Mus musculus: one gene and its partners. The protein of the gene in region 7 binds, or shares a complex with, the protein of the main gene of each other region. Links are inferred from orthologs where the notes say so. Each region holds a gene or a part of one and is shown on either strand. Other genes may lie near its edges.

Region 1 (4,790 bases), on a different chromosome or scaffold from region 7:
TGCTTCCAGAGTCCTAGGATTTAAGCATGTGCTACCACCATCTGAAATTTTGTTTGGTTTTGGTTTTTTTCTATTTTAAGATTAAGTATAATTTTGTAATAATCTTCATTTAATCTGGAAGAGTCAGTAAGTATAAACCGTTGTTTAGGTGTATTGGGAGGGAGGGGGCCCCTCAAAGTTGCTTTCTTTTTTATGTTAGGCTGGTCTCTTGGTACCAAAGTTGATAGTGACTGTTTCAAAATACAACATGCAATCTCCAAAGTTCCACAATATCTTACTATTAAAACTCATGCATAAGTTCCTGTAAACATGAGACTGTGTAAATGTATGAGCTCATTGCATATCCATATGTTTTCCAAAGATTAGTTACATTCCTTGCAATCAACAATAGTAAATACCACCAACAGCTCAAAACTGCTGTTTTCCATGGCAAAAGACAATTAAAAGCTTGCCAGCCTGCCATGTTTCTGGATGTATCTTGGATACTAAATCTTTGCCATAGACAAACAGAAGCAAAAAAACAAACAAACAAACAAACAAAAACAAAAACCAACTAAATTAATAACAGTAAAAAGTAATAACATCTGCAAAACACTCCATCAACTCTGAAGTATTTAACTGCTAATTCCTGTAAGGCAGAGAATATATTTTCAGTCAGAAAAATTTCTGTATAATTTAATCTAAAAGATACACCCAGGGGGCAAGTGCAGTGGCCATGATGTAAAAAGCATACAATTAAAAAAATACATGGAGCCGGGTGTGGTGGTGCACGTCTTTAATCCCAGCACTCGGGAAGCAGAGGCAGGCGCATTTCTGAGTTCGAGGCCAGCCTGGTCTACAAAGTGAGTTCCAGGATGGCCAGAGCTATACAGAGAAACCCTGTCTCGAAAAACCAAAAACAAACAAACAAACAAAAAATACATGGAAAGGAGAAACTTTTAAACAGTGAGCTAACTAAAGCGGTCTGATAGAGTGGATGTGGCTGTAGCTCAGAGGTATATTACAGACTCAGCAGCCTGGGCCCCTGAGTAGAACCCCAAGCTCTACTCTATCCATACAAAGAGATCATTCGCATGGCGGGAGTGGTTAAATGTCTGCAATTGGTGCTTCTGTGGTTTTTTGGTTTTGTTTTTGTTTTTTTGGAGAGTGTGAGCTCAGGTCTAACAGAAAGCACTGACAATGTGAATCAAACCGTGCTCTACATAAACAATGTCGATTTTTGCCAACCCCACCCAAGCTACAGGTTGCTTTAAGGACTGGTTCCTATGATACTCATCAGTGTTCAGGAAAACGGTGACAAACCCTGGAGGCTGCCCCAACTACCTCAGACAAATACTTAGGTCACCTTCAAATGAACCTTGTATCACCTACCCATCAAAATTATGCCTTGCACCTCCCCAAAACTAAATTGGGGGGGGAGTTGGGGGTTTGTGGTAAAAAAAAAATATGTTGTTACCCCAAGGGGTACACTAAGAAGTAACTAAAGAAACCGTTTCTTTGGAAATACAATGTAATAGACATGAAAAACATCAATTTAATCGGGGTTTCCTACACTAGTAGGGATGAGAATGATGCCAGCGTTGAGTCAAAGACAACTTTAATCCAAAAACACGACATTAGCCGTCACAAATCCTCAGGAACTTTGCAACACGGGACGTGAGTAATTTGAAAGCCTACGTGACCTGCTGTATTCTTCAGCATTGAAGTGACCTGCAGAGAGTGAAAACTCAGCAAACACCCTCGCTCTGTCTGAACAATGACCTAAATAGTGGACTAGAAAGGAGCAGATGACGCATTCCATTCATCTGGTGGACCTTAAACGCGCAAAGGTCTCATAGTCCTTTACAAATTAATACAACAATTTGGTCACTTTAGTCATCGGAGTGTCTAGAAGAGGAGTGGGAAAAAAACCGAGAGAGAGAGAGAGAGAGAGCGAGAGAGAGAGAATCAGACGAAGGAAGAGCTAATTTCAGAAAGCAAAAAGCACTAGGAAGAGGCTAACTGGTTGATACGGAAGAAAAAAATTCTGGGGCCAAGTGAAGCAAGTTACGGAATGACAAGAGATGGCCAAAAGTCTCGCAGGACAAGCCTGTACAGATGTCTCACTTTTCCTGGATGCTTAACAGAGCTCCTTCAAAGCTCTCTCGCACTGTCCCCAGCCAATCAGAAGAAGTTGGGGACACGGTGAAACTGGATGCTGAGTGTCAGGTTAGGTCATCCCCACAAAAGTTTCATCCATGCCAGACCTGGGCCAGCCGCGGCATGGAGAGAGTAGGCGGGTTTGGGGCCGGGAGGACCCTGGAGCCAGCGGCTGGGTGCGGATCCGCTGAGGGTGCGCGGTGGGGGAGGGGGCGCCTGGGGACTCGAGCGCGGCCACTTACGAGGACGTGCTGGGCTCGAAGAAGTCCACGGCGAATCCGAAGTAACTTCCCTCGGGACCCGCATACTCGGCGGGACTTTCGACGTCCAGGTTGAAGGCGTCGGCGAGGGGCAGCAGGAGACCCGGCAGCAGCAGCAGGAGGCCGCCGGGGCGAGGGCGTAGCAGCAGGCGCCCGGGAGCAGCCATCGCCGGGGCGCGCGCGGGGCGCAGAGCCGAAAGACTTCAGTCCCTGTCCCGGTGCTCGGTGGCCGCGGCCCGCCGCCTGCGCGCCCCCGAACTGCCGAGCTGTGCTGTGCGCTTGCGGTCAAGGGCGGCGGGGCGGCCGGGCGGCGCGAAGCTGAGCCGGGCGGCACCCAGGAGGAGCGGTGTCCGACCCGGGACTCCGGCTCTGTCGCTGGCTCGCGCGGTGCCTGGCGCTGAGAAGTGGCGGGGCGAGCACAGTACCTCGGAACCGTGAGCAGCCCGGACTGGGGGAGGAGGCCGGGGAGGAGGAGGAGCCGGCCAGGCCGGGCCGCCCCGCCGAAAGAGGAAGTCGCGCTCACGGTGGCCTCCCACAGGAGAAGGCCGGGCGCACTTCCGTGCGCGCTGGCGGCCGGTCCTCCGAGGCTGTCCCGGGACTGCGGCCCAGATCCAAAGGACCAGGGGGGCAGTGGCAGCGCGCCTCCAGCCGAAGCCCTGCAAGCCGGGGACTGGCTGCAATCAAAAGAAAAAGAACCAGGCACACCCCGTTCCCTGGTTCCTCCAGGCACTTCTGAGGGACTTTTGTTTAAGAATGCGGAAAGCTTTATCCGCTTCTCTTACTTCTGCCACTTAGCCCGGCAGGCGCTCACCAACAGAACTCTGTAATTATATGCCATTTCCCTCCCCTTCCATCCTCCACACACTGAACTTAATTATAAACTCCCAGAGGGCTAGCACAGCTCCTCCCGGATGCGGTGTGTGGAACTGGATCTCACTGGCTGACAAAAACGTTGCAAGGCAAAGTTTAGGTGATGAGCCTCTCAAATCCACCCAGAAGACTTCAAGCCTGTGCTTGGATCTTCTCTTTTCTTTCTTTTACTTCCTTTCCTTTTTTCTTTTCTGTTTCTTGCTTTCCAGTTCCAATTCTTCTTCTGGCCTCTGTGTGTATCAGGCATGTACGTGGGTCACACCCATACACACAAAATAAGTCTTTTTTGTTTTGTTTTGGTTTTTTTTGGTTTTTTTTTGTTTGTTTTTGTAAATTTGCTCAGTATTCCTGTGTTCTATGTATATCAAGTGCTAAACAATTTGATGAATGGGCCGGGAGTGGTGATCCATGCTTTTAATGTGGTGGCAAATGCTTTTAATCCTAGCACCATGAAGTGAGAAGCAGGAGGATCTGGTCTGTGTAGCAAATTCCAGGCTGGCCAGGCCTACAGGTAAGACCTTGTCTCAGAAGGGAGGAGGAAGAGGAAGAGGAGGAGCAAGATAAGAAGGAAGAGGAGGAAGAGGAGAAGGGTGAGACGAAGAAAGAAGAAGGAATGAAGAATTTGGTCAATAGGATAAAATGATTAAATATAAATGCATTGCTTAGGCCTTGCATACTTCCAAGTAAAGTAGTGGAGAATTTGAACTATTTTCCCAAAACAGTTATTAAAAATCAGTCCCAGACTAAGCACAGAGGCAGTAGGCCCCCCTGAGCCCAGTCAACATAAGAAGATCCCTGTCTCACACAGCAGAAAAAACACCTCAGTGTCAGCATGCATTCATCTCATAACATAAGTAATCATGTGTGGGGGTGTGGATAGCCTTAGTTGGGTTAAGCAAGTTGATTTTTAAAATGTAAAAAATAAGCAGCAAAACTGTTGGGAGATCTTATCAGCCACAGGCTAATACCTATGTAAAAGCCACCTCAGAGACAGGAAATCCTGTGTGGATACTTATACACAAGACCCTGTGGTTGCTCTTTCATTCCTTGTCACCATTTGGGATCAGAATGTGGGGTTTAAGAGGCAGACAATGATTCGTGGAGAGCAAGAATGTTCTGTGCACTCCCTGTGTTCTCTGCATCTCTTTCTGAAAACCATGCTGCCGGCCAGTCGGGTACCCTCAGGTCTAGAGACTAAAGACAAGTCTGGGATTTTCAGTTTCTCATTCAGATGGTCATCACACACAATTTTTGAAAGAAATCGTGCCTTTTACTGGATGGAAATGAAAAACTACGGCATTTTCTTACATGATAACTACTTGAGATTTGTTCTTAACATGTGAATAAACTGCACAGCTTATTCTAACTATAGCCATTTAAAATCCCACCTTAATACAGTTCTTTAACCACAAAAATTCCAAGTCTGGAAGTTATTCTTTGTGCTTCTTCCACAAATGAACAATCTAACTAGGACTTAAACACAGAAAGTTGAACATTTCTACTACGCTTACAATTTGCTAA
Region 2 (4,599 bases), on a different chromosome or scaffold from region 7:
CGCTAACGGCCACATCTGCCTGCCTCAGCTGACGTACTCATGACTGCTTTTATTATTGGAGAGGCCTCTGAAATGATCTGGCCTTAAAACTTGATGATCACTTGACCAGCTACAACTAAAACCCTCAGTAACACCTTAGGAAACACCCGATTATGCTAAAAAATGAATTTAATTATACATTCTAGTGTGCTGGAGAGAGAGGTCAACAGCTAACAATACTTCTAGAAGACCCAAGTTCAGTTCCCAGCACCATGTCAAGGAACTCACAACTACCTATAAGTGTAGTTCCAGGGGATCTGATTTTGTTTTCTGGCCTCCATGGGTAACACACACACACACACACACACACACACACACACACACACACACAAAGTAAACATAAACTCCAGATTGACACAGTATTCTTTGTCTCTGCCATGAAGCTAATATTATCTTCTAGACAGTGTCCAAAGAGTCTATGGACTTGTTCCTTGTTGAATATTCTCAACCCTGCATTTCATGTTAAACCTTATAAGAGAATAATTGCCTTGAATTTTATTTGTGGCCTAAGCAGTTAAGGTAGTGTGGGGCACTGGGGGGCGGGGTGCATGGTTTATGCTTCTGCATGTGATGCAACCCTCCACAGATGTGTAATAAGTGGGGACTTTGGGTGCAAATAGTTACAGCCCAGGTCTGATCCAGGCATCTAGATTCCTTTCCCTTTGCATGCTATTTGGCTTTTGCTGTTGGCATTTGTAAGCCTTGATTGGCACTTAGATTCTTTCCAATGGATGGGACTTAAAAATCCAGAAAACCAAGACTGCTTTTTCTTAGTGTGAATCATTTACACTACACCTTGCTCTCTTCATCACAACATAGGCTGGGACTTGGTCTGTCTTGTTATTTAGCCCTCATGGCCTCCACACTTCTTCACGCAAGTTTCACTCTGACCAGACTAGGACCATTTCTTTAAAGCAGTGGTTCTTAACCTTCCTAATGCCACAACCCTTTAATACAGTGTGTTGTGATGAGCCCCGCCCATAAAATTATTTTGGTTTATACTGCACAGCTGTAATTTTGCTGCTGTTATGAATTGTCATGTAAATCCATGTGTTTTCCAATGATCTTAGGCGACCCCCGTGAAAAGGTCATCCAACCCTGACAGGGACCCTGACCCACAGGTTGAGAACCACCACTTGAGAGTTTCCTGTGCTCACTCTGTTCATGACTTTGTACAGGAATTGGCTGATGGCTGAATCGTAGATTTCCCTTCTCGAAGTACCTAGCACAGACTTACACCGGATCTCGGGTCCCTGATGCGAACACAACTACATTGTATCAACATTCAATGTCTGCTTCACTTTGGACAATATCTTTGTGGCCACCAATTATCCAGACAGAATGTTACACCAGCAAACAACTAGGAAGACTTTATAGCAAGAGAAGTAACCAGGTGGCTGGCAACACTGGCCAGGCAGAGGCAGCCACCTCTCTGTGAGTTCCAGGGCAGCCTAGTCTACATAGTGAGCCCCAGGACAGCCAGGGCTATGTAGTGAGACCTTGTCTCAAAAATAAAAATAAATAAATAAATAAAGTAATTAAGTTAAATAAAAGAACTGTCTAGATTTAGTAAAGGATGTTCAGGTTTTAAAGAACAATTTGGCATCCGTTCCTTCAGTAAGTTGTTTCCAAAGTATAGATGAATCCGACTTTGGTCCACTGACCCTCATGTTCCTTTCTTAAACTTGTTACTCATTCAACCGCACTGAGAGAAGCGCTTTCGCTGAGGATGCTAACTGATGTAGAAACAGTGTTAGAAACAGGGTGAGAGCCAGGGATTTACCTCCTGGGAGCACCAGGCGCAGTGGGGTCCTGTGAGCAGGCAGTCTGAGCAGCTTTCTGCACCACCCCAGGCACAGCCACCTAAGAGCAAAGCCAGCAAGAGGCAAGGATTAAAGCCCACTCCTTCATCCAGCTTAGGGGACTAACCCCTCTTACTAGAGCGAAGCTATCTAAAAATTTACTTTATAAAAGTAATCCTCTGAAGGCTAGTAACTCACATCAAAGTTTATAGCTTAGACCCATCACAATGGAAACATCTACATCATGTAAAACAGTGTCTCAGACCGCAACCGTGTCTAACTGCTCAGTACAGAATCATCGCATTTAGCCTCCTGTTCAACACCTGCCGCTTAATTTCAAAAACATGTCTGTACGCATTAAAAAGGGTTCTCTTATAAATTCAGCATTTCTGTTGCCGAATCCTCCACTCTCATGATTGTGACTCCCAGGTGGACGGCCTTGTTGTGCAACAAAACAGAAAAGCTTCTGAAGTGGCTATCCGGACAACACTCACAAGTCCCATTGTTCAGGAACTCTGTCTAATCCTCCTCATTAAAATTCCCGTGAAGCCTTTGTGTTTATTTACCTTGTACCTAGAACATTCACTGGGGGAAATGCTCTACGTCTGCCTGTAGTTTGTGAAAGTGTCTCAGTGGCACGAGAGCCATCAGACAGATCAAATGAAAAATGACTGCAGGTCTGTTTTCTGAAGCAAATGACAGTTTGTCAAGCTTACGATGAGAGCGATATCTGAGAGAGCTTCAGGCTTACCTTGGACGTGATCATTCCTTCCTAGAAGTAGCAGAAACAGGCAGACCAGCTCAATCCCCATTCGGTTCAGTTTTCACTGTGCAGACAGATTAAAAATGAATTACCTTCAGGGTTACAAGACCAAAGCTGGAAGCCGTGAAAGTCTTTCTTGCCGGGGTTTTTGGTTTTGTTTTGTTTTTTAAGTAAAACTACTCACACTGCTTTGAAAAGTAACTTGAGCTGTAAATTCAAAACCTTTCACTAAGACTAAAATGAAAACAGAAGCTACCTGGACAGGCAAAGCAGAAAAGCTGTGTTTAAAAGCAACTTCAACATGTTCACTTCCTCATTCACCTTATAAGGAAGTCAGGTGTACAGTGCCCGGGAAGGTGGGGAGACTTAGTGCAGGAGACGTTTGCATGTGTGTCAATTCTATTAGCTGTACTGTATCCTAGAGCAAATGAGCCTCTTTAGTGAAATGTTAATCAATGAACTGTCAAAAGACCGATTTAAATGTATGGTGTTCATAACAATTTTAATTTAATGCTGTAAGGATGTGAAATGAAACACAGAAGTTAAGCTTAAATGTAAGGAAGCTTAAGAAAAAAAAAAAAAAAACAAGTTAAAATACCTGAGAGGTTTGGTTTTCATGTTAGAGCCTCTGCAGAGAATTGAAATGAGCTCTGAAAAATATAAACATTATTTTACAGTCAAATTAGAAGTTAGGCAAAGTAGAACAAAAAACACTGTTTTCTTATCTTTCAAATTATATAAGAGCTATTTTTCACACCTTTAGAGTTCTTAATTTTAAAAGCGTATTAAAAGCACTGTATATGAAGATCAACTAGACCAAAATAAAGCCTCAGCACAATAGAAACACCGGAGAGAGAAACAACAGCAGTCACGACTCTGAATCTCTGTCTCGAGAGCATTCTTCCAGGGTGGTGACCAAGGAGAGCATTTGGTGGCACAAGGAAGGTCCCGTGGTCCATCAAACACCAAGACCGCAAGCAAACAAAACATTACGATAAACAAGGTTAAAATAATATAAACGAAAGGAAAGGCTTCCAGCCCCTGGCTTGACACATATGAATCATTTACTTGTTATGTGGATGACAGCTCAAAATGTGTATATTCTACAGGTAAATCTGTGAGGTTTGTATCCCCCGCCCCCTAGCCCCCACCCTCCCTTCAGGGGCCGTTTGGGATTTGTAGAAACTGTGAGCAGGTAGGAATCAAATGCTCCGTCACGCTAAGCCATCTGACCTCAGGCAGGCTCCTTTCTGTCTGGGCTCACGTCCTGGGAGACTGTCTTTTGAAGGTATGTTTCCAGGCAAGCGTGAGAAACCTGGAAAGAGAAGAAAACAAATTATAGACTACTTAGATTTTTTTTTCCAGCAGCCTATATTCAGTTTTCAACTCTGTCATATACAAAACCCAGGAAGAAAACAGAAAGACTCCTGCTGTAAGAATCCAGATTAGAGAGCTGAAAACTGAGACTTTGAGAGAGAAAAAACAGTGTGTGAAATGTGTGCCTGCATTTGAAGGATGGTGGGACTATGACTCTCTGCCTATGATGTGGCCGCCATTTTGAAAACCCATTGACAAATGTTTTCTGAGCATTTGTGCCAGATATGTCCTTTTAAGATATACTTTTATTTTTAATTGACACAACAGTTGAATGCACCCTTAGGGTAGAGTGTGTGTGTGTGTGTGTGTAATTTCCTTGGGGAATGTTTGAAATCTTCTGTGATAGCTTTTTTTAAATACTCAATAAATTATTGCCAACCAAAGTTGTCCTGCTGTGTTTTAGAATATTAGACACTATTCCTTCTCAAATGGCATACTGGTACCCAGTAACTATCATCTCTCCATCCCTCCCTCCCATCCTTTTCTGGCTCCACTCTTTTGTTTGGTATGTTTTGTTCTCAACTATTCAGTGTGTGTGTGTGTGTGTGTGTGTGTGCGAGCACATGTGCCTGTGTATATGTACCAGTGTGTATGTGTGTGTCTGTACCTGTGGTGTGT
Region 3 (3,645 bases), on a different chromosome or scaffold from region 7:
TCGCCACTGCGTCTTTATATTTTCCCCCAGAGAGGAGCACATGAAGGTTCTGCTTTTCTTGGAAGAATGAGAGGTCTTCATGAACCTGGTGAGCAGAGGCTGAACTTTGCTTTCAAAGTGATGGGGGTGATGGGGGTGGGGCGGGTTCAACAGGGAGGAGGCTTGGGTTGCCTTCCTTCCTGAATATTCCTGTTTTCCCTCAGAGCAAGCACAGCCCGTAGGTCACAGACAGTACAAACTCAGGCTGAGTTACTCTTCTCTTAGCTTGTCCATGGAAGCATTATGTCTGTCTGTTAGAGACTCCAGATGTGAACCCAGGACATCTGGAAAGGGTCCTACCACAACTTCTTTCTCGCTGCTGTGGCAATCGGCCAATACCACAGTGGGGAGTTCACATCTGGTGCCAGACCCTTCAGCAGTACCTTCAGATTCTTGTCCTGGGTAAATCTCCAGGATGCTGTCACTCACCCTCCCCAGACATACAGTAGGAGATATATTTGTTGTCAGGTGGCATCAGACTGTCACCCTTAGCCTGCATGGATGTCCCCCAAAGAAAGATCATTGAAAAATAACCCAAGAGAAACCATTGAAGGACATTACACAAGATGCATTTGATTTTTAAAATATTTATGAGGCACACCCTTTATTCTCACAGAATGTCGTTTAATAAATATTTCACCAGGACAATGAGGATAAATCACACGGATGGGAGGAGAAGTTAATGGGACTGAGGATGGAACTCTTTCAAATTTCAGTTTTAACCTTCAATGCATCACACTCGACCCCTGCAAAAGTAAAGATCCAGCGGAGAGACGCATCCTCGAGGAAAAACCAAGTCTCTAGCCTTGGCACACGGGTCAGTATATGGAGGACCAGTGGCAGCGGCTCTTGATGACCTGAAGCAAAGGCTTCTTAAAAGTGAGGAAGACGACAGTACAGGCCACCAGCAGGGTGAGGCAGCTGGGCAGGATGAGCACGAGGTAGAAGAGACCAGTGTCCACCTGTTCCCACTTACAGCCCTGAGGCAGGCCTTCGGGCAGCTCCACCACACGGACGATCTTGGAAGAGAGGTTGCAAGTGACCATGGACAAGTCCGCAACAGTCTTGAAGTGCTGCTGCAGGGCCCCCCATCCTTCCACCCCACAGCAGTCATAAGGGTTCTGGCTGAGGTAGATGGTCTGCAGACCCCTCAGAGGCTGCTCGGACACAACCCTCTGAGGGAGGGCCGTGAGAGAGTTTCTGCGGAGGTCGAGAGTCCGAAGGGCCAAACTGCCCTTGAACTTTGGGAAGCTGGTCAGGGAGTTTCCCGACAGATCCAACGCCCGCAGATTCCCAAACGCAGAGAAGTCCATCTCTGCAGCGCCAGAACCAAGGCCCACGTCCCTGAGAGACAGGACCTGTAATGTCGGGGCAACAGCCCAGAGAGGGCTGATGCTCCCATTCAGAACCCCCCAGTTGCTAGACAGGTCTAAATGAGTGAGGGAGGTCCCCTGGAACGGGCAGTCTTGTAATGCCTTCAGCCCACAGCCGTCCAGAGAAAGGCTCCTCAAAGAGCCCATGTTTCTGAAATCCACACAACTGGGAGGCCCCTCCCAGTCTACGGGCACCATCTGAGGACAAAGTGAGATCTGATTGTGACTCATGTCGATTGTAGTGATGCTGCTGGCATTGTCGAAAAGGCCAGTGGGGACCCCCAGGAGCTGGTTGGAACTCAGGTTGAACACCCGGAGGTTCCTGAGGGAGCCCGTGAGCCCCGGAGCCAGGTGCAGCTCTGCCAACTGGTTGTGGCTCAGATCCAGCTCGGTGAGTGCTCCCGGCGGCTCGTGCTCCCGGATGTGGAGCATCTTCAGGCAGTTCTGGTTGAGGTTCAGGTGGGAAAGGGAAGGTGTCTTCTTCAGGAAACCATCCGGCAAGTGCCGGAACTGGTTTTGGCTCATGTCCAGGAAGCGAAGAGCTGACAGGTCGCTGGAGGAAAACTCCTCCCAGAGGTTGACAGTTGTGATGTTAGTCACATTGCCGTCCACAAGAAGGAACTGGGCCACCATCTCCTGCGGGGAGGAGGTGTTGTAAAGCTCCCTGTAGAAGCCCATGTTGTTGTCCTGGAGCAGGAGGGTGTGCAGCTTGCCGCACTGAGGCAAGAGTGGGAAGAAGAGCAGCTGGTTGTGAGACAGGTCCAGTATCTCCAATTCGAAGGCCACCTCCTCCCTGGCTGCCAGGAACCACTCTAGGATGTTATAACTGACGTTGAGGAACCGTAACTGGGTGAGGCTGAAGTCCACAATGCAGGGGAGGTTGTTATAGGCAAGGTTGAGACGCCTCAGCTCAGTCAAGCCGTCAAACGCCCCGCCCTCGATCTCAAAGATGTAGTTTCTCTGCAAATCTAGCTCTACAAGGTGTTCCAGGCCCTCAAAGATAGAGTCGTCGAGCCTCATGAGGGTATTCCTTGCCAAGGACACAACCTCCAACGAGGAGAGGTTCTGAAGCATGAGAGCCGCCATGTCTTCGGTCAGGGAGTTTCCAGACAAGTCCAGTCTCCGAAGTCCCAGCAGGGTGTGGAGTGCTGCGGCTGACTCCTTGTAGTTCTCCGAGAGGCGGTTGTCTGCCAGAACCAGGTTGCGTAAGTGGCCTTGCTCTCGGAAGGCGTAGTGGCTGATACGGTCCAGGTGACAGCTATGCAGGCTGAGGTTCTCCAGGCGTGGGTAGGCCTGGAGGGAATGGTTCCACAGGTCCTTGAGAGGGTTAGCATCCAGAATGAGCATCCGGGAATGGGGTGGGAGGCTGCTGGGTACCGAAGCAAGGTTCAGACCCCGGCAGTCAGCGACTCCGTCGACCTAGGTCCACAAACACATGAGGTTAATTCACAGAAATGTAGTTTGCAAAAGCAAACAGCTAGCCAGAAGGTGTTGGGTTAGGTGTCCAGAGAAGAACGGTAAGAAAAGCAATACTATTGCTTTCTACAGGTTGGTCAGGAGGGCAAGGCCAGTGAGTACCAAACAGCCAACCTCCAAGGCAAAGTGCAATGAAGTTGTGTAAGAGGCCTCGCTCTTGGAAGGCGCAGTGGCTAATACGAAGATGCCCAGGTTTGGGTTCTATAGTTTGTTAATTTGACCCTGAGCAAGGAACTAACTAACCTCTTGCAGCTTCAAATTCTTTACTGGGTTATTAAAATAAAACTTAGGGGCTGGAGAGATGGCTCAGAGGTTAAGGGCACTGACTGCTCTTCCAGAGGTTCTGAGTTCAATTCCCAGCAACCAGGTGGTGGCTCACAACCATCTGTGATGGGATCTGATGCCCTCTTCTGGTGTGTCTGAAAACAGCTACAGTGTACTCATATACATAAAATACACCTTTAAAACAACAACAACAACAACAGAAAGAAACTGGGCATGGTAGCACAAGCCTTTAATCCCTGGACCCATGGAGATAGAGGCAAGAGGATCTCTGAGAGTTTGAGGCAATCTGGACTACTTAAAGAGTTAGGGACCAGTCAGGACTATATAAGAAGATCCTGCCTCAAAAAAAAAAAAAAAAAAAGAAAGAAAGAAAGAAAGGGAGACCCTCAGATAGTCTCAGCCTCCCTCTCAGATAAAAGTCACTAACCATTATGCTTGTAATTTTCTCATAGAATTTTTTTCAAGGATTGAG
Region 4 (4,436 bases), about 73 Mb from region 7:
CAGCCCCTGGGGGCACAAGGGAAGCAGGCCGCTCATCCTGTAGTGATGGCACCAGCCCTGCCCTGCCCCCACCTTGAGCCAAGTTCTAGGGCAACTCTGACGGTGTGAGAGAGCATCAGGCCATCATGGGGAAGCAGGTAGGGAGAGCCCCAGCCTACCTGAGTCTTTGTTCATGCTCTGCCCTCGCTACAGAGTAGTCACAAAGCCCCTTCCTCGATTGATACATGACCCCATGGACTCCAACCTGGAAAAGGTGTCCTCCTAAAGCAGCAGATGAGGAACGGTCTCTAACACCCATCGGGTGCAGGCCCAGGCCTACATCGACTTCATCCAAAAGAGCGGCTCTTGCCATTCTACACTTGGCAGAGAGGGGAACTGAAGTTCAGTCTGACTAGATAGTACACACAAGGGCTGAGGTGGGAGAGCCACAACCCTGAGAGCTCCCGAGGGTGGGTGGGGGCAGGAAGCTGGGCTACTCTGCTGCTCTGACTCCTTATAGCATCAGAGGATGCCTCCTTGGTGAACCTTTCCCTGACCTTAGGTTAGGTCAGGGCTCTAGACTGGAGTTGTCAGGGACTGTCCTCTCTGGGTTGTTCGCACCGCATGGGTCCATCCAACCACTGTGGACTAGATGGGAGGAAAGGCCCAGCTCAGAGCCCAGCCCTACTCTGGCTCACCCCGCTTGGTGCTGTTAAGATAGGGTGGATGGCCCTCCTCTAGGCGCTGTGACCACCAGGGAGAACATTATGAATACAGAACTAGAGACTGGAGGACGGCAGCAACACTCTTCACCCATCTTTCAGTCTAGACCCAGCAGGGCACGGTGCCAGTGTCTGAGGAGGCTAAGTACCTTGTAAAGGCAGCGGCTTTGGGTAAGTTATGAGACTGTCATTATGCAGTTTAACCTATCAGAGCCTCAGGTCCCCCAAATGTCCGTGGGGACCTGACAAGTCTCAACCAGCTGGCTTTTCCCTCATCCCACTCCTAGCCTCAGCTTCTCTATCAGTAAGCAGGGGACACTGACAGGCTTGGAGATGACTTAAAGGCAGGATAGCTGGGGGGGGGGGGGGGTGGATGGGACCCCCTCAGGGCCATCCCAGGGCCAAAGAAGGGTCACTTCCTTCCGTGCCGGTGGTTGCCAGTCACCTCTGGGTGGCCCCCTGCCTTGGTGCGGTGGCGCCAGGATTTCCTCCGCGGACCTGCGGCTCCCTGCACCCAAGACCTCGCGGGCCCACGGCTGCACGTGCGGCTGCCTCGGCCTAGCTTCTTTTGTGATCCTTCTCCCTCCAGTCGTTTTTCGGTTTCAAGCGCCGCCCTAGCTGGGTCCGGGCGATTCCAGAGCAGAGGCGATGCTCGGTTCCTAGGTCCGCACGGCTGGCAGGGCGGTGTTAGGACCCCGCGGCTCAGAGTCCCAGGGGGCGTGGCCGGGCGGCCGGTGCTATTTAAAAGGCGGGCGCCGCCCCCTCCCGGCCGGCTGGAGCGGCGCTGCAGCGGTCCGGCCTCGGCGGGCCAGACCCCCGGGGTTGCGCGAACGATGCGCGGAGGAGTCAGGCGGCGGCGGCGGCGCTGAGCCAGGTAGGGGCGGCGGTCGGCGGCGGTGCCTAGAGAGCTAGGGCCGGACCCTCCCTCGGCACCCGGGTGTTAGCAGATCTACCTAAGGAAGGGCTCAGATAGGCGTTCCCATTTGACAGCTGGGAAAATCGAGGCAGGAAGCTCTGGGTGTGCCTAGGAGCACACAGCCAAGCAAGCAGATTAGGATTTGAATTCAGGTCTGCCCCAGGCAGACATGGGCTTTCCACACTACCACTATTATCTGGAGGGGATACCCAGAACTCTTTGGGGAGACTTCTTTATGTGTGATAGATAGGAGGGACCCCCCTACCCCACCTCCACCCTGACATTTCACATCACAAGCACATTCCTTTGGGTTAAGGTCTGATTCCCCTGAGATGTAGGATGTCTCTAGAACGGGCTGCCCCTAGTGAGTGATTCACTGCACTGTGAGCCTTGAAGCTGCTCTCCCAGGCCCCCTTTGACAGTAGTCATAACAGACTGAGAGCCCTACCGCTCAGTATACTCCTGGGCCTGGGGCTGTAGGCTCCTGAGTAACTTAGGAAGGAAGTCTTGGCAGTTGCTTTGGAGGCACAGGGGCTGGATTCTGATACCGACTCTTCGATTTACTGTACAAGTGCCTTAGGGTAAGTCATTTCTCTGAATCTCGTGGTCTGGGAGAGAGATCCACAGGGTGCCCGTGGGGTCTGCACTAGTGGAGACCACCCAGCACTAAGGGACTATAGATCTGGCTGAGTCCCAGTTGCAGCACACCTAGGGGCTAAGGATCAGGCACTTTGCCTTCCCAAGCCTCGGTCCTCCAGTCTGTAAATGGGAATTATAGTAATCACCTCACTTGGTGGTTGTGAGAGTTAAAAGACCTGCAGTCAACCTAGGGCTTAGAAAAATTGTAACCTCCTTGCATAGTAGGGGCAGTCTTATTTTTATTATAGGTTTGACTCCACTATCTGTCTGTCCCCCTCTGTCATGCACGCGCGAGCACGCGTGCATGTGCACACACACATACAAGCACATACAGAGATATTCTTTGACACCTCTCCAATCAGAATCCAGCTACCTGCCTGCAGAGCCAGGACCTCTATCCTCAGCATCGTTGGTATCTGAACCATCAGGGAAGGACATGGAAGGGTCCCAGTACTTTCCTGGTCATGCTCCACCTGATCCATGCTAAGCAAGGATAGCCAGTGTTGGAATGGGAACTGGTGTGTCCTGCAGATGAATCACCTAGGCAAGGAGAGATAAAGAATTTGCCCTGAGGACCACACTAGCCAGTGGTGGGGCTTGACAGTGAGCCCTGGGTTTGAATGCCTCTGGTTGTCCCTGGGGGGCTGAGTTCTCACTGCTGCAGATGGGGCACAGCAGGGTGCTTCTTTCCACCATAATTCTGTGGGGACTGTCTCTTCTGGATGTGCAGAGGAAGGAGAGACAGGGTCCCTTTGGGCATCCCTACCTTAACCCCAGGTCCTAACTTGTCCTTATTGCAGCTGAATTTGTGACATCATTCAGCCACTTGTTCCCTGGGAGAAATTTAGTGAGCATATACTTAAGGAATGAAGCAAATGAGAAATGAGAGCGGGAGGGGGGATAGAACACCCAGGAGCCTGAGCAGGAACATTCTGGACCAGGAGGGAGCAGCCAAGCAGAGTCCTTCCCCATCCCCCATCCCCCTCCCCCCCACACACACCCACCACCAGGCAGCAGGGAAGGTACTGAGGTGACTGAGGAGTTTGCTGAGGGGAAGAAGGTGGTAGGTGGAGCTGATGGGAGAGAGGGTGACGTCTGAACGCTACTGGAGATTTCAAAGTGATTTGTAAGATCTGGCATGTGATTTTGAAACGTCACTGGGTGCCATGTATGGGGCAGATTGTCCCGTCCTAGAGGGAAGCAAGAAGGCAAACAGTGGAGTTGGCTGTTGCAGTGAAGGTGGGCGGCTTTGAACCTGCTGGACTAGGGCGGGGAGGGGCCAGGGGGACCTCTCCTCACCTGTATCCCATAGTGGAGACTTGCCTGCTGCTGCGCCATCTGACTTCCCTGTGTCATAAGGTGGGTCCCCACGGGTACTTCCTTTTCAAGAGGTAGGGAATCACAGTGGGGTGTGCTGTGTGCCCCACACTGAGCTGTCCGATGCTCAGCAACTGTGAGAGCCCTGAGAACACAGGGTAACCGTGAGAACCAGAGGAAGCTTCCTAGAGGACAGGGCATCTAAGCTCCACGGGTGAAGAGACATTGAGCTGCAGGGGAGGCAGAGGAAGCCAGGGGTCCAGAGGTCCAAAGGAAGCACAGGTCCGTACATGTGCTCAGGGCTCAGAGACAGAGCGAGGACAATGACAAGTCAGGTGGGAGACAAGAGCTGGCCGAGGGAGGGATGGTTGCCCAGGGCCTGGACATGAAGGCTGGCCCAGGAAGGGATAGCTGCTCAGAGCCTGGAGATGAAGGCCAGGGGCTTTCATTTAGCTCTGAGGATGCTGATGTTAAGCAGGTAGGGACTGCATTTGAACCAAAAGAACAAAATTTCCTGTGAATTCATAGCCTGCAGTGAAAGCGGAGCACTGTGGGGCAGGGCTGGGCTCTGGGGGAGCCAGGAAGGAGAGTTGAAAGGGCCACACTAGCCCCTGCGTGTTTCAGCAAGATAAGCAGCCACGGCATTGAGAGTCATCCCCAGTGGGTTCTGACAGTCAAAAGAGCCGGCACAGGCCTGCAGAGCTCTCCCAAGGCCATCTTTAGAGTGGCAACTCTCATTCCCTTACCCACTGTTGGAGACCTTCAAGTGCAGAGGCGAAGGGCACAGAGTCTACCATGTAGCTGTGTTGTCTTAGCTGTATTTTATAACCTCTCTGAGCCTCGGTGTTGTTTTGGTTTGGCTG
Region 5 (3,990 bases), on a different chromosome or scaffold from region 7:
GTATGTATGAGTGTTTTGCTTACATGAAAATATGTGCACTGCATTTGTGTTTGGTGCCTGTGAAGGTCAGAGGAGGGTGCCAGATTCCCTGAACTTAGAGTTAGGGACAGTTGTATGTGGATACTGGGAACCAAACCCAGGTCCTTTGCAAGAACAGCAAATGCTCTTAATCACCAGCCCTCTTTTTCCTGTTTTTAAAGTGTGTTCATGTATCTTTTCAGAAGACTCTGCGTTCCCCATGTGGTTCCTGAAATTCTGAGGTTCAGATTCCTTTAGTTTTAAGTGGCATCAGACAGAACTCCTGCCTTGGAGTTTGGTCAGTGGGTTCAACAAACATTTTGCCCAAAAGACAGTGAGTCAGAACACCCCATGTCTGTGTGCCCCCCTTCCCTTCATTTCATACAGTGTCACTTTAAGTGGCTGGATCAAATGCCAGTTAGGATCACATTCCCTCTAAGGCTCCTCAGCCATCTTCCCAGCTGACTGGCTTGAATTCTCATCACTCACTCCTGACCCAGGAACTGAAGTGGCTGAGTATTGTCTCAGCTCCTGTACCCTCCACGTTTCTATAAGCATCCTCACTCATACATTGTAGCATACACCTGACTCCCTTCTGGAATGACACATCGCTCAGCATTTATGGGCATGCCCCAACTGCCCTACTCGGTAGCTTAAAGACAGCACAGTACAGCAGCATGCCTAATGCCTAGAGCAGACAATCAGGAATGCCACAAATAGAGTGTCAGAGACTCAGGCATGCTCTCTAATGAGTACCTCATGGGCAGATGAACAACACACAACTAGAGTTCTGGCATTCGCGTGGATGTCGTCAATGACCCCTCTGCACATTATAGACTAAGAACCATGTCCTTTTCTCCAAGAGAACTAGAAACAAATGATCAAGGCTCTGATAGGTGAACCAAAGCTGTGCATAAGACATTAGGTCCCTGTGTGTTGTGTCCATTGTCGGCAACCATAGGCGATGCAAAGAGAGGGATGTTGAGTGGACATAAGGTGACTGCTCCCCCTGCTTCTCAGGCCCAGAGCTGGTGTTTCAAGGTAGTCTGTGTGGGAGTCAAAATCAGAGTGAATTGGAAGTTGGGATCAATAGGAACAACAGGATTGTGGCAGTCTCTAGAGCAGTGGCTCTCACCCTTCCTCACGCTGTGACCCTTTAATACAGTTCCCCATGCTGTGGTGACCCCAACCATAACACTATTGTCATTGCTACCTCATGACTGTGTTTTTGCAACTGTTATGAATCATAATGTAAATATCAGTGTTTCCTAATGGTCTTAGGCAAGGAAGCCTTTGACCCTCAAAGTTCATGACCCGCAGGTTGAGAACCAGTGATCTACAGTTTTACCAGGTACTATTATGGACTGGCTGCTTTTGTATTCCTGTGACCAAATGGTTTGCCCAGAATCAGATTAAGGAAGGAAGAGAGTATTCCGGCTTGCAGTGTTTAGAGGCACCATCTGTCACAGTAGTGAAGGCTGGCTGGCACAACCTGATCGTACTGTATCCACAGGAAGTGGGGTGGTCACTGAAAATCAGCTTATATACCTTAAGACCTGCCCTATACGACCCACTGTCTCTAGGGAGTAAGGATCCACTTGGTGAAAGTTTTATAACCTTCCAAAACAAAATCAGCAGCTGGGAGCCAAGTTTTCAAACACATGAGCCTATAGAGATAAGGATGGGGGTGGGGCAGGGAGCATTGAACCATATCTCTATAGAAGCAACCATTCACAAGCAACAGTTACGTATGTCTTTCTACCTCTATCCCCAGTGCCTCACTCAGCCTTAGGCATTGTCTAGTATGTTGTGTCACTCAGCCCTGATTGTACTGACATGCAAACACGGAAAGGCATAGAAGCCGCAAAAGACATCGTACTAAGTTTCCCCAGCTTTTCTTAGAGAGTGGCATTTGAGCTGAAATTTAAAGAATAGGAGGTATTTGAGTGGAATGATCTCAGACAGGGACTGTCTTTGCTCATTCCCATATTCTCACCTGCTCCTGTTCCTGCTCTGTTCCACATCCAGGTCACCCGGAAATAACAGCTCTGTGCCTGGGTGGTATGGAGCGGCATGGAAAAGAAGGTGTCTTGGAAGCCTTGCTTCTTTATGTCAACTGTGTGAGTGTGTGTGTGTGTGTGTGTGTGTGTGTGTGTGTGTACATGTACGCACATATATATATGTGTGTATGTCTGCAGGTACACAAGTGTGCAAGTGTGTGCATGCAGACACTAGTGGGTTTCTTAGGAATGGTATGTACTCTTTCAGGAGCAAGGTCTCTCACTTGACCCGAGACTCACTGATTTAGCTAGACTGACTGACAAGTGAGCCTTAGAAACCTGCCTGCCTCCATTTCTCCCAAGCTGGGATCACAAGTGTGTGCACATTTACATTTGGAGGTTTAGCACGGGTCCACAGAGCAGGTGCTTTACCAGCTGAGCCCTCTACCCATCTCTGTCCTTCCTGTATGTGAATCCTCACGAGGAAGAGATTTGGAGCTAGTATCTAACAATGCCTTATGCATTAGGTTTTGGTTTATATGGTATCCTCGATCATCTCTGACTCAGCTACACACTGGGAGGGGCATGGACAGTGTGGCAGGGTGTAGAATCATCAGCTAGAATCCCTACCTAGTATCCGCGGACCCAGTTTAGATGCTACCGTGCATAAAGAATTGATTATGGACTTGCTTCCCGGTAGGGGTGATGCACACCTCCAGAGCCTAATGCCTTCTCTCCTTTGTCTTCTCTCCACATCAGAATACACCACCAGCAGTCCCGACCTGTTGTTGGTCATTATCCAAGTGACGGGTGTCAGCCTCCTGCCTCCGCTGGGGATTGCCATAGCTGTCATCATCATCTTCTACTGCTACCGTGTCCACCGGCAGCAGAAGCTGAGCCCGTCCTGGGAGAGCAGCAAGCCCCGGAAACTGATGGATTTCAGTGACAATTGTGCCATCATCCTGGAGGACGACCGCTCCGACATCAGCTCCACGTGCGCCAACAACATCAACCACAACACGGAGCTGCTGCCCATCGAGCTGGACACGCTGGTGGGGAAGGGCCGCTTCGCCGAGGTCTACAAGGCCAAGCTGAAGCAGAACACCTCAGAGCAGTTTGAGACCGTGGCTGTCAAGATCTTCCCCTACGAGGAGTACTCCTCGTGGAAAACAGAGAAGGACATCTTCTCCGATATCAACCTGAAGCATGAGAACATCCTGCAGTTCCTGACGGCCGAGGAGCGGAAGACAGAGCTGGGCAAGCAGTACTGGCTGATCACGGCGTTCCACGCGAAGGGCAACCTGCAGGAGTACCTCACGAGGCATGTCATCAGCTGGGAGGACCTGAGGAAGCTGGGCAGCTCCCTGGCCCGGGGCATCGCTCATCTCCACAGTGACCACACTCCTTGTGGGAGGCCCAAGATGCCCATTGTTCACAGGGACCTCAAGAGCTCTAACATCCTAGTGAAGAACGACTTGACCTGTTGCCTGTGTGACTTCGGGCTGTCCTTGCGCCTGGACCCTACTCTGTCTGTGGATGACCTGGCCAACAGCGGGCAGGTAAGTGGAGGCTGGTGCTCTGTCCTCAGACTTCATGCCTGGCTTCATTTCTGCCCCATCTTTTATTTTCTTTTTATAATTTTTCATTTAGAGAGGGGTGTGTGTGTATGTGTGTGTGTGTGTGTGTGTGTGTGTGTTAAAAGTGTGTGTGTGTTAAAAGTGTGTGTGGGTGCACTTTCCCAAGCATGCATGTGTAGAGGCCAGAGGTTAACATCAGCTGTCTTTCTTCATTGTTTTCGACCTTATTTTTCGAGGCAGTCTCTTACTGAACCCAGAACTCACTAATTTGTTAGATTGCTGGGCCAGTCAACTCTAGAGTCCTGGTCCCCCAACCCCACTGCAGCCAGTGTGCCTGGCTTTTACATGGGTTGGGGAGCTCTGAACTCAGGTTCTAAGGCTTCTGCAGCAAGCTG
Region 6 (3,464 bases), on a different chromosome or scaffold from region 7:
CGCGTCTGTGTTTTGTAAAATCGTTTTAATTTTCTGAGCCTCCATTTCCTGGCTAACAAAAAGGGGAGATTAGCTTGTTTCCAGGATATTACCCTCATGTGTCCAATTTTATACCTTTGTGAATTCTTATGAGTAGGGTTGGGATTCAAGGAATGCCCTTAGGGAACACAGGAGGGCAAGAATAATATAGCTTTCCATTTGAAAACTGTTGACATCATCTTGGAGTAAAAATCAAGAGAACACACTCAGAAAAGAGGGTACTCTGCTCGAAGCAGTTTTGTAGACACCTTTTGGATTTCGGGCTACAGGTCAGATCAATGACAGAGTGAAACAATCCATCCAGTTTGACAGGTAAGAATATATAAACTATCTTCAGACAAAGAAGCTATGGACTTAGATGACCTTAGACACCTTACAGTGACCCTTATTAACATTCAGCTTTAAAACCAGTATTCTAGTAAAGTGACATTGTCATATAGGTTCTATGGCAGTAGTAACTTAGCACTTATTTAATCCAGTCATTTGTGACATTATAAACTTATTCCAAAGGAAGAAAAACAGAATTTAAATGCAAAAAGGAGAAGATGTTGGAGTCAAAATCCATTTTGGAAAAGAGAAGAAAGCAGATTTGTACATGCACAAAGCCACGCAGCTTCAAAGGAGAAGAAAACAGACCCGTGCATGCACAAAACTGCACAGCTTCAAAAGCAACACCGCTTAGATTAAAGTTCATCTGTTCACCCAAACTGAAATGAAAGCCTAACCCTTACTCAGCTGGTTGTACACAGCTCGACAATGCCAATTGCCGGGTGTGGTTGACTGCTTTCAACTACTCCTGGATGCTTTTCATCAGCAGGTTGTACAGAAGGATCACCAGTCTGTGGTGGTGACACCCTGCAACCTGCTCCATAGCCTCGTGTTTGTCTGTGAAGCTCAGGGCTGACAGGTACCTGTAAAGTGTAATCAGTGCTTTCCCAGATGATCTACATTCTACGCTGATCTAAATAAGTTATATATTACAATAAAGTGCTACAACACTAGTCTCCAACAGTAGTAAGACACATAGTTCACTGAAAACTTCAGCAGCTGAGTGAGTCATATGGTTGTGAAGACACTTGCCAGTCTTCATGGCACACTCTTCAATATAATTTGTCTTCTCCTGTGACTTTATATTATACTTGCTAGAATAAATTGTAAAACCATCCAGCTTCCAACAGTTTTTGTTTGTTTGTTAATCTTATTTAGAAGTTGCACCTGAAGGCCTCCTGAGCATTTAGTTTGCTGATATCCATTTTTATTTCCTCAGGCTTTTCTCGTCGGTAGGTTACAGCTCTCGTGCAAACACTTTGCAGAATCAGTTTATCCTTGATGGAGAAGAAATATTAGGATTAGTAACAGAGCTGAGTGTTAGAAGTGCACAGTCACATATAATTAATATAATTGTCCTCCGAGTTCACCAACCTTTTTAGAAGCAGACATTCTATAATCTGATGAGGACTTTATTTTATTATTATTCCATTGTAGTATCACTTGTCTAATGATAAGAACTTTAAGCAACCCGATCAAGAATGTGACTATGAATATGATGAAAAATATTCGCAGATAGCTTGGGCCAGATAAACATTCTGCAAGAAAGGAGACAAGTTAATGGGTTAAAATTTTTTTTAAAGTAAACCAAAGTTTTCTGTCAAATAAATATAGTTTACATTCTTATAATAAAAGCAGGTTTCTTTACAAGTCTCTATTTTCACAATAGGAGGTTGACATTACTGATTACTCAAAACAGTGAACCCTTCTTTGGAGAATATTCACAATTAAAATATTTCATTTTTTTGTAGCTTGCTATGTCAAAATTTCTTACCCATATGTAAGTTTGTTTAGAACAGTGACTGAGAGAGCTATAGTGGTGTGTACAGTTCAGTACTATGTGGAAAACATGATTTAAAAAGGATATTGAGCAGCCCCAAGCATTCAGCATGTGTTTTTCCTTTTATGCTTTCTCCTCCTTTATTGCTCAGCAGTAATGGAAAATAAAGTAAACATCTGCAGAAGCAAACTCAGTACTACTCTAATAGGGAAATAAATATTTTCTCTAAACCCTGGTGTAAGATTTCATTATTATTAGACATCATGACTCTGAGAAGTAGGAGTGTTGCATCTTGGACAATACCCAAATCTCTCGTCTCACTTTTTACTAATTAACTTCACTAATCTAGTCTGTTTGCCTCCACAAATTCATTATGTGTTCTTCCTCGAACAATAATCACTTGCTGAAGAAAGAAAAGCCATGTTAGGAGAGGGAAAATGCTAGACCTTTGTTTTAGAACCAGATCTCTGGCAAACTCTCACTGGAAAAATTTGTATAAGCTCTGTGCTTGCCTGAGGTCTACTCTAGTCTCTGAGGAATATGGTTGCACAATAGTGGGTATTCCACAGAGCTCACAAGCTGCCCCAGATTCATAAAACACTTCCTGGACTGAAGCATGTGTTTCTCCACCCATTTTGCACGCTTCAGGGACCTGGTCTGAATGCTGCAGTTGCCTAGGAAAGAGCATCTAGAGAGAGGATGTGCCAAGGCCATGAGCATAGTAGCATCCAGTCATAGCTGATTCTGGCTCCAAAGCTCAATGCTAACCCAGCATGCCTCTTAAATGAGGCAAGGTTTCAATAATGGGGGCAAGAGATCTTCTACAACTAGGTGGACTTAATAGAGACCATTGTTTGTGATTGGTGACAAAAGACTTTGTGGAGTTAAAAAACACGCCCATTCCTATTCATTGAAATGGGAACATCAGATGCCAGTATGGTACAATGCTTCCTTGTTAAAGATATTATGAGTACAGAATACAAAGTGTGTGTCCAAAGGTGGTGCTATTTGATCTTTTACAGCTTCTTTCCTTCAGGTTAGTGACCCTCATAGCTTATGTCCTGACAGATTGTGATATCCCTTGGCTGACTTAGTCTACTCCATCAGCTAAGCCAATCCTTAGAGGGGCACGTGGCTTGATCCCTATCCTGGCTTTTTGCCTGATGGGAGCTTAGCCAGAGAGACTGAAAGAAGACCCTGTAAGAGTGGTTGAGTGGACAAATAATTAAGGTGCCTAACAAATGCTCTTTTCCTTTCCTTGCATAATAGTTGTTAAGGGGAGGGAAGTCTTGTAGTTTGATACATTTCAGAAATATTATGAATGTGTTAGCCAGAGGACCCGTTGAGGGTTCAAGTCTGTATTCATTTTTCCCCAATGTTGTTATGATGATCCAACATTTGCCTCTGGTCATGCTTTTCTTAGCTGAGGTCAGGCTAGGTCTTTTTCTAAGGAGTTTTAAGGGAACACTGTTTGCAACAACACTTAAGTCAGAGTAGTGTTTACTTAACTTAATTAATGATATGTAGGGGCCCTCTTTATTAGAAAGGCACTTGGCTTTCTGGAGAGATTGCTGCAGCCTGAGCTGGCAGCACATGG
Region 7 (3,990 bases):
GCGGTCTCAGGGTTTTCAGAGTCACTGCTTTTTCAAGCCTCCCTTGCCAGTCTGAGACCCAGCAGGGCCTAATCTGTGAGGAGCCCTGAGGACCCCGGGGGAGGTGGTTTTTAAGATGGCATAAAAACAGCTTTGCCATGGAAAATTGTGAAGAGACACAGAAGCAGTGCGTTACAATATAAACGGAATACCCCTTTTCAGAAACGTTAGGGACCAGAAACATTCTAGACTGTATAGCTTTTTGGGGTAAGGGGATATTTACATAGACTTTACATATTTATTTTATTTTTATTACTATTCATATTTCTTGAGACAGGATCTATGTATTTGCCTGAAATTTGTTTGTCACTGGCCTCAAACTCAGAGATCTGCCTGCCTCTGCTTCCTGAATGCTGGGATCAGAGACATGCACCACACCTGTCAACTTGAAAGAAAGAAAGAAAGAGAGAAAGAAAGAAAGAAAGAAAGAAAGAAAGAAAGGGAGAGAGAGAGAGAGAGAGAGAGAGAGCGAGCCGGGCGTGGTGGCACACGCCTTTAATCCCAGCACTCGGTCGGCAGAGGCAGGTGAATTTCTGAGTTCGAGGCCAGCCTGGTCTACAGAGTGAGTTCCAGGACAGCCAGGGCTATACAAAGAAACCCTGTCTCGGAAAAAAAAAAAAAAAAAGTTTTATGTGTAGGAGTATTTCTCTGAACATGTGTGTACACACACCACATACGTGCAGAGCCCATGGGGGCCAGGAGGAGGCGTTAGATTCCCTGGAACGGGACTATGGATTGCTGGGAGCAGCCATGTAGGTTGCTGGGAAATGAATCTGCGTGCTCTGAAAGAGCAGCTGTGCTCCTCATCCTTCCAGATGCCCCACCCCCTTTCTCGAGGCAGGGTCTGATTGGTTGCCACAAACACACGACGTACCTATCAATGACTTTGACCTCCTGCGGTTCCCGTTCCTACTCCAGCGCTAGGATTACAGCCTTGCTCACCATGGCCAGCGAGATTTTGGACTTCTGAATTATGGATTCTTAACTAATTCGCATCTCCACAACTGTAAATGACAACAGTTGCTGACTCGTGGCCAATTTCATTCCACCTACTTTCTTTCCGCCACTGTAGTTTTTTCATTTGTTTAATGAACTTTTGTAGAAAAGTTCACTTTCTCTTAGAAAGTGAGGAATATTTTACAATTTAAACATGAATCAAAAGTATAAATCAATATAAAATATAAATCAGTGGTAGAGCCCCTGCCTAGAATCCCCCAGTGAGGGGCTGGGGGCGTGGCTTGGTGGTAGAGCCCCTGCCTAGAATCCCCCAGTGAGGGGCTGGGGGCGTGGCTTGGTGGTAGAGCCCCTGCCTAGAATCCCCCAGTGAGGGGCTGGGGGCGTGGCTCAGTGGTAGAGTGCTTCTTTACTATGTACAAGGTACTGGGTTTTCTCAGTATCACAAATGCAGCAGCAGCAACAACAAAATCCTAGGGAGGGTTGGTTTTTTTGTTTTGTTTTGTTTTGTTTTTTTTTTTAATGTATATTGGTGTTTTACCTGCACTTATGCATGTGTGAGGGCATCAAATCCTCTAGAGCTAGAATTATAGACAGGTGTGATCCTTATTATGGGTGGTGGGAACTGAACGCAAGTCCTCTGGAAAAGCAGCCAGTGCTTTTAACCACTGAGCCATCTCTCCAGCCCCCTTCCCCAGGCAAAAATTTAACATTAAATCACTAAAATCAAATACTACTCAAGGTTCATGTTTCCCACTGTGTCCCATAAACATCTTTTTCCCTTTCCTTTTCTTTCCTCCTCCTCCAACCTCTCAGCCCTCTCTTCCTCTCTCTTCTAGTAGTGTGGACTATATATCCTCCCCTCCCTTCTTTGCACTGTATCTGTTGAAGAAATGACTAGGTTTCCCACCATCTGCACTTTGCTGGGTGCGTCCCTGTGGTGCTGGCTAATGTTGTTAGTCTGTCCCTCTGTTGCAGTTCCCTGCAACATGGGAGTTGGAGCTACAGTTCCCATCAGATCATGGTTGATGTGTCTGATAGGCCTTGCTCGATGGCATGGTGTTCTTCCATGCAAAATTTTGCTTGTCACAGCCGGGGACTTGGCTCAGGGAATTAAGTGCTCGCTGTGCAAGCATGAAGACCTGGTTTCGGATTCCCAGAGCCCACATATACATCAGGCATAGGCAAAACAAATATAAGAGAGAGACAGGCAGACAGACACAGTCAGTCAGTCAGACAGACAGACAAAGAGATTTTCATGATTCCCTGAGTTTGTTTCCCAGTATGTGAGGAACAGAGTTTACATAGCTTCCTGCATCTCTTAGTAACCTGCAGTATGAAGACCGGACATCTGATCCTATGTGAAGGCTGACAACCAAAGGTGAAGACAAGGAGGAGGAGGAGAAGGAGGAGGAGGAGGAGGAGGAGGAGGAGGAGGAGGCCGGCCAGCCAAGGACCGATATGTAACACAGAACTCTATAAAGTCTGAAGCAGGTAAGGGATAGGTCAGCTCACTGCTCTCATCTCTCAACACCCCTGAATTTCATGCCTTCTAGGATCTAACGTTCCAATTTCTTTCTCTCATCCACAGTACCGAGGCTTAATATGAGTCTACCATTCTGGAACTGGGTGGTTGTGTGACATCTGTAATCCCAGGACAGAGAATTCAAGACAGTCTGGGCTAAAGGAGTGAATCTGAGGCCAGCCTGGATTACACAGCAAAGCCCTGTCTCGAACAAAACCAAACAAAGGAGAACTAACAAGATGGCTCAGCAGGCAAAGGTGCTCGCAGCCAGGCCCAATGACCTGAGTCTTATATCTGGGACTCACATGGTGGAAGGAGAACGGACTCCCAACAGTTGTCCTCTGACCGTCACACAGTTTTGTGGCATGGATGCCCCTACATACACACAGACACACACACACAATGGCCCTACACACACACAGAGATATAACTTAAAAACAATGACCAAAAAGCTTTGGCCCTTGGTACGGGCATTCTGGATACACTAGGACGCCCACTCTCTGACTCTGAGAGATCTTGTCTCCTCAGAGTTCCCTATCTCAGTACTATATTCCAACACTTCACACTTCCAAGCCTACATACATCTCAGAAGTTCTATCTTCTCACCTCCTCAGGGTGCACCACTGCCAGATAAAGCGCTGGCCCTCAGGAAACTCACTTTCTGGCTTTCTCCACCTCCACTCTAGATGCTAACATCTCCCTGCCAGCCCTGCCATTCTGAGACCCAGGATTTGCCGCTCTCATCCACCAGCACTGGAGACCACCATCTGCCAAGAGTGTGGGAACCCAGTGCAGACCACCTTCTGATTCGGAACCCAAATGTTTGGATCCCAGCACTCCAGCTTTCCTGGGGTCAACACGCTCCATGGCTCACAGTAAATTCTTTCATTAGCATCCCAAAGTGGCAGAAGCCTGGCAAGAATTTTAAAACCCAACCAGACAACCTTCCAACAGACTTCCAACTCTTGTTGAATTCCCTGATCCCAGCACTCCAGGAAGAAAACACCCCTCATTCTAGGACTCTCAGCTGCCCACAGAACCAGGAACTTGTCCCCAAGCCCTGCAGGCATACATGGTGGCACACCAGTCCACAGGCTGCAGTCAGCCCGCAGCCTGCACAGCCTCGGAGAGAGACAGTGTTTACCTGAAGCAATAGTTGGTATCCAGGGCTCTCCGGTGCCGTGAGCTGTGCAGGTGCTGGGCCCTTTCCAGGGGGGTGGCCATGAGGAGCAGGAAGGGCCGGTTCATGTCATGGATGGTGCCCAGGTCGCCCCGACGTTTGGGGCTGATCCCTGTTGGGTTTGGATGTTGTGGTGAAGGACATACACACACTTAGAGGGATGGGTGAGATTTCACACACATGCACGTGCACACAGACCATGAGGGGCCTGTGTCAGGATGGACCCGGGAAGTTAGCTCACCGTTGATTTCCACGTGGAGTTTGTTATCTTTGCTGTCACAAGAGCAGTGAG

Evidence for each region.
Region 1: the proteins of Tgfb1 (region 7) and Itgav are in contact, whole or in part, in a crystal structure (PDB 5FFO), measured with the Homo sapiens proteins. The link is inferred for Mus musculus from reciprocal best matches to the Homo sapiens genes TGFB1 and ITGAV. Residues at the interface, in NP_000651.3 of Homo sapiens: Gly242, Arg243, Arg244, Gly245; in NP_002201.2 of Homo sapiens: Asp178, Asp180, Phe207, Tyr208, Gln210, Ala245, Asp248.
Region 2: the proteins of Tgfb1 (region 7) and Itgb6 are in contact, whole or in part, in a crystal structure (PDB 5FFO), measured with the Homo sapiens proteins. The link is inferred for Mus musculus from reciprocal best matches to the Homo sapiens genes TGFB1 and ITGB6. Residues at the interface, in NP_000651.3 of Homo sapiens: Pro70, Gly71, Pro72, Glu75, Leu158, Asn237, Gly245, Asp246, Leu247, Thr249, Ile250, His251, Met253, Asn254; in NP_000879.2 of Homo sapiens: Ser142, Ala143, Ser144, Asp146, Asp147, Pro196, Cys197, Ser199, Ile200, Pro201, Tyr202, Lys228, Lys231, Ile232, Ser233, Ala234, Asn235, Ile236, Asp237, Thr238, Glu240.
Region 3: the proteins of Tgfb1 (region 7) and Nrros are in contact, whole or in part, in a cryo-EM structure (PDB 7Y1R), measured with the Homo sapiens proteins. The link is inferred for Mus musculus from reciprocal best matches to the Homo sapiens genes TGFB1 and NRROS. Residues at the interface, in NP_000651.3 of Homo sapiens: Leu30, Ser31, Thr32, Cys33, Thr35; in NP_940967.1 of Homo sapiens: Phe194, Glu195, Ile196, Glu197, Gly198, Gly199, Phe201, Leu210, Leu212, Pro218, Cys219, Ile220, Val221, Asp222, Phe223, Gly224, Leu225.
Region 4: the proteins of Tgfb1 (region 7) and Lrrc32 are in contact, whole or in part, in a cryo-EM structure (PDB 8VSC), measured with the Homo sapiens proteins. The link is inferred for Mus musculus from reciprocal best matches to the Homo sapiens genes TGFB1 and LRRC32. Residues at the interface, in NP_000651.3 of Homo sapiens: Leu30, Ser31, Thr32, Cys33, Lys34, Pro325, Pro327, Tyr328, Ile329, Trp330, Ser331, Leu332, Thr334, Gln335, Tyr336, Val339, Leu342, His346, Ala353, Pro354; in NP_001122394.1 of Homo sapiens: Ser135, Tyr137, Glu158, Ser160, Thr162, Val184, Met186, Asp187, Ile188, Glu189, Asp190, Phe193, Leu202, Leu204, Arg206, Asn207, Ser208, Leu209, Thr210, Cys211, Ile212, Ser213, Asp214, Phe215, Ser216, Leu217, Leu223, Leu225, Cys227, Ser229.
Region 5: the proteins of Tgfb1 (region 7) and Tgfbr2 are in contact, whole or in part, in a cryo-EM structure (PDB 9FKP), measured with the Homo sapiens proteins. The link is inferred for Mus musculus from reciprocal best matches to the Homo sapiens genes TGFB1 and TGFBR2. Residues at the interface, in NP_000651.3 of Homo sapiens: Arg303, Lys309, Trp310, His312, Tyr368, Tyr369, Val370, Gly371, Arg372, Lys373; in NP_003233.4 of Homo sapiens: Phe47, Leu50, Phe53, Asp55, Ser72, Ile73, Thr74, Ser75, Ile76, Cys77, Glu78, Val100, Asp141, Glu142.
Region 6: the proteins of Tgfb1 (region 7) and Itgb8 are in contact, whole or in part, in a cryo-EM structure (PDB 7Y1T), measured with the Homo sapiens proteins. The link is inferred for Mus musculus from reciprocal best matches to the Homo sapiens genes TGFB1 and ITGB8. Residues at the interface, in NP_000651.3 of Homo sapiens: His117, Thr241, Arg243, Arg244, Gly245, Asp246, Leu247, Thr249, Ile250, His251, Gly252, Met253; in NP_002205.1 of Homo sapiens: Ser156, Ala157, Ser158, His160, Asn161, Asp213, Tyr214, Asn215, Leu216, Gly248, Asn249, Ile250, Asp251, Thr252, Glu254, Gln286.

Annotation. Positions count from the first base shown.
Region 1 is NC_000068.7:83,722,511-83,727,300, reverse strand, and holds the start of Itgav (integrin alpha-V precursor), read right to left. Parts: upstream 2,905-4,790; 5' UTR 2,567-2,904; coding exon 2,382-2,566; intron 1-2,381.
Region 2 is NC_000068.7:60,670,810-60,675,408, forward strand, and holds the start of Itgb6 (integrin beta-6 precursor), read right to left. Parts: upstream 2,885-4,599; 5' UTR 2,654-2,884; coding exon 2,593-2,653; intron 1,903-2,592; coding exon 1,823-1,902; intron 1-1,822. UniProt on the Homo sapiens protein: Integrin alpha-V:beta-6 (ITGAV:ITGB6) is a receptor for fibronectin and cytotactin. It recognizes the sequence R-G-D in its ligands. Internalization of integrin alpha-V/beta-6 via clathrin-mediated endocytosis promotes carcinoma cell invasion.
Region 3 is NC_000082.6:32,142,175-32,145,819, forward strand, and holds the end of Nrros (transforming growth factor beta activator LRRC33 isoform 2 precursor), read right to left. Parts: intron 2,832-3,645; coding exon 858-2,831; 3' UTR 611-857; downstream 1-610. UniProt on the Homo sapiens protein: Key regulator of transforming growth factor beta-1 (TGFB1) specifically required for microglia function in the nervous system.
Region 4 is NC_000073.6:98,488,523-98,492,958, forward strand, and holds the start of Lrrc32 (transforming growth factor beta activator LRRC32 precursor), read left to right. Parts: upstream 1-1,468; 5' UTR 1,469-1,575; intron 1,576-3,517; exon of another isoform or gene 3,518-3,615; intron 3,616-4,436.
Region 5 is NC_000075.6:116,109,091-116,113,080, reverse strand, and holds part of Tgfbr2 (TGF-beta receptor type-2 isoform 1 precursor), read left to right. Parts: intron 1-2,777; coding exon 2,778-3,577; intron 3,578-3,990. UniProt on the Homo sapiens protein: Transmembrane serine/threonine kinase forming with the TGF-beta type I serine/threonine kinase receptor, TGFBR1, the non-promiscuous receptor for the TGF-beta cytokines TGFB1, TGFB2 and TGFB3.
Region 6 is NC_000078.6:119,161,876-119,165,339, forward strand, and holds the end of Itgb8 (integrin beta-8 precursor), read right to left. Parts: intron 1,626-3,464; coding exon 1,462-1,625; intron 1,365-1,461; coding exon 1,242-1,364; 3' UTR 928-1,241; downstream 1-927. UniProt on the Homo sapiens protein: Integrin alpha-V:beta-8 (ITGAV:ITGB8) is a receptor for fibronectin. It recognizes the sequence R-G-D in its ligands.
Region 7 is NC_000073.6:25,696,945-25,700,934, reverse strand, and holds part of Tgfb1 (transforming growth factor beta-1 proprotein preproprotein), read right to left. Parts: coding exon 3,940-3,990; intron 3,811-3,939; coding exon 3,663-3,810; intron 1-3,662. UniProt on the Homo sapiens protein: Transforming growth factor beta-1 proprotein: Precursor of the Latency-associated peptide (LAP) and Transforming growth factor beta-1 (TGF-beta-1) chains, which constitute the regulatory and active subunit of TGF-beta-1, respectively.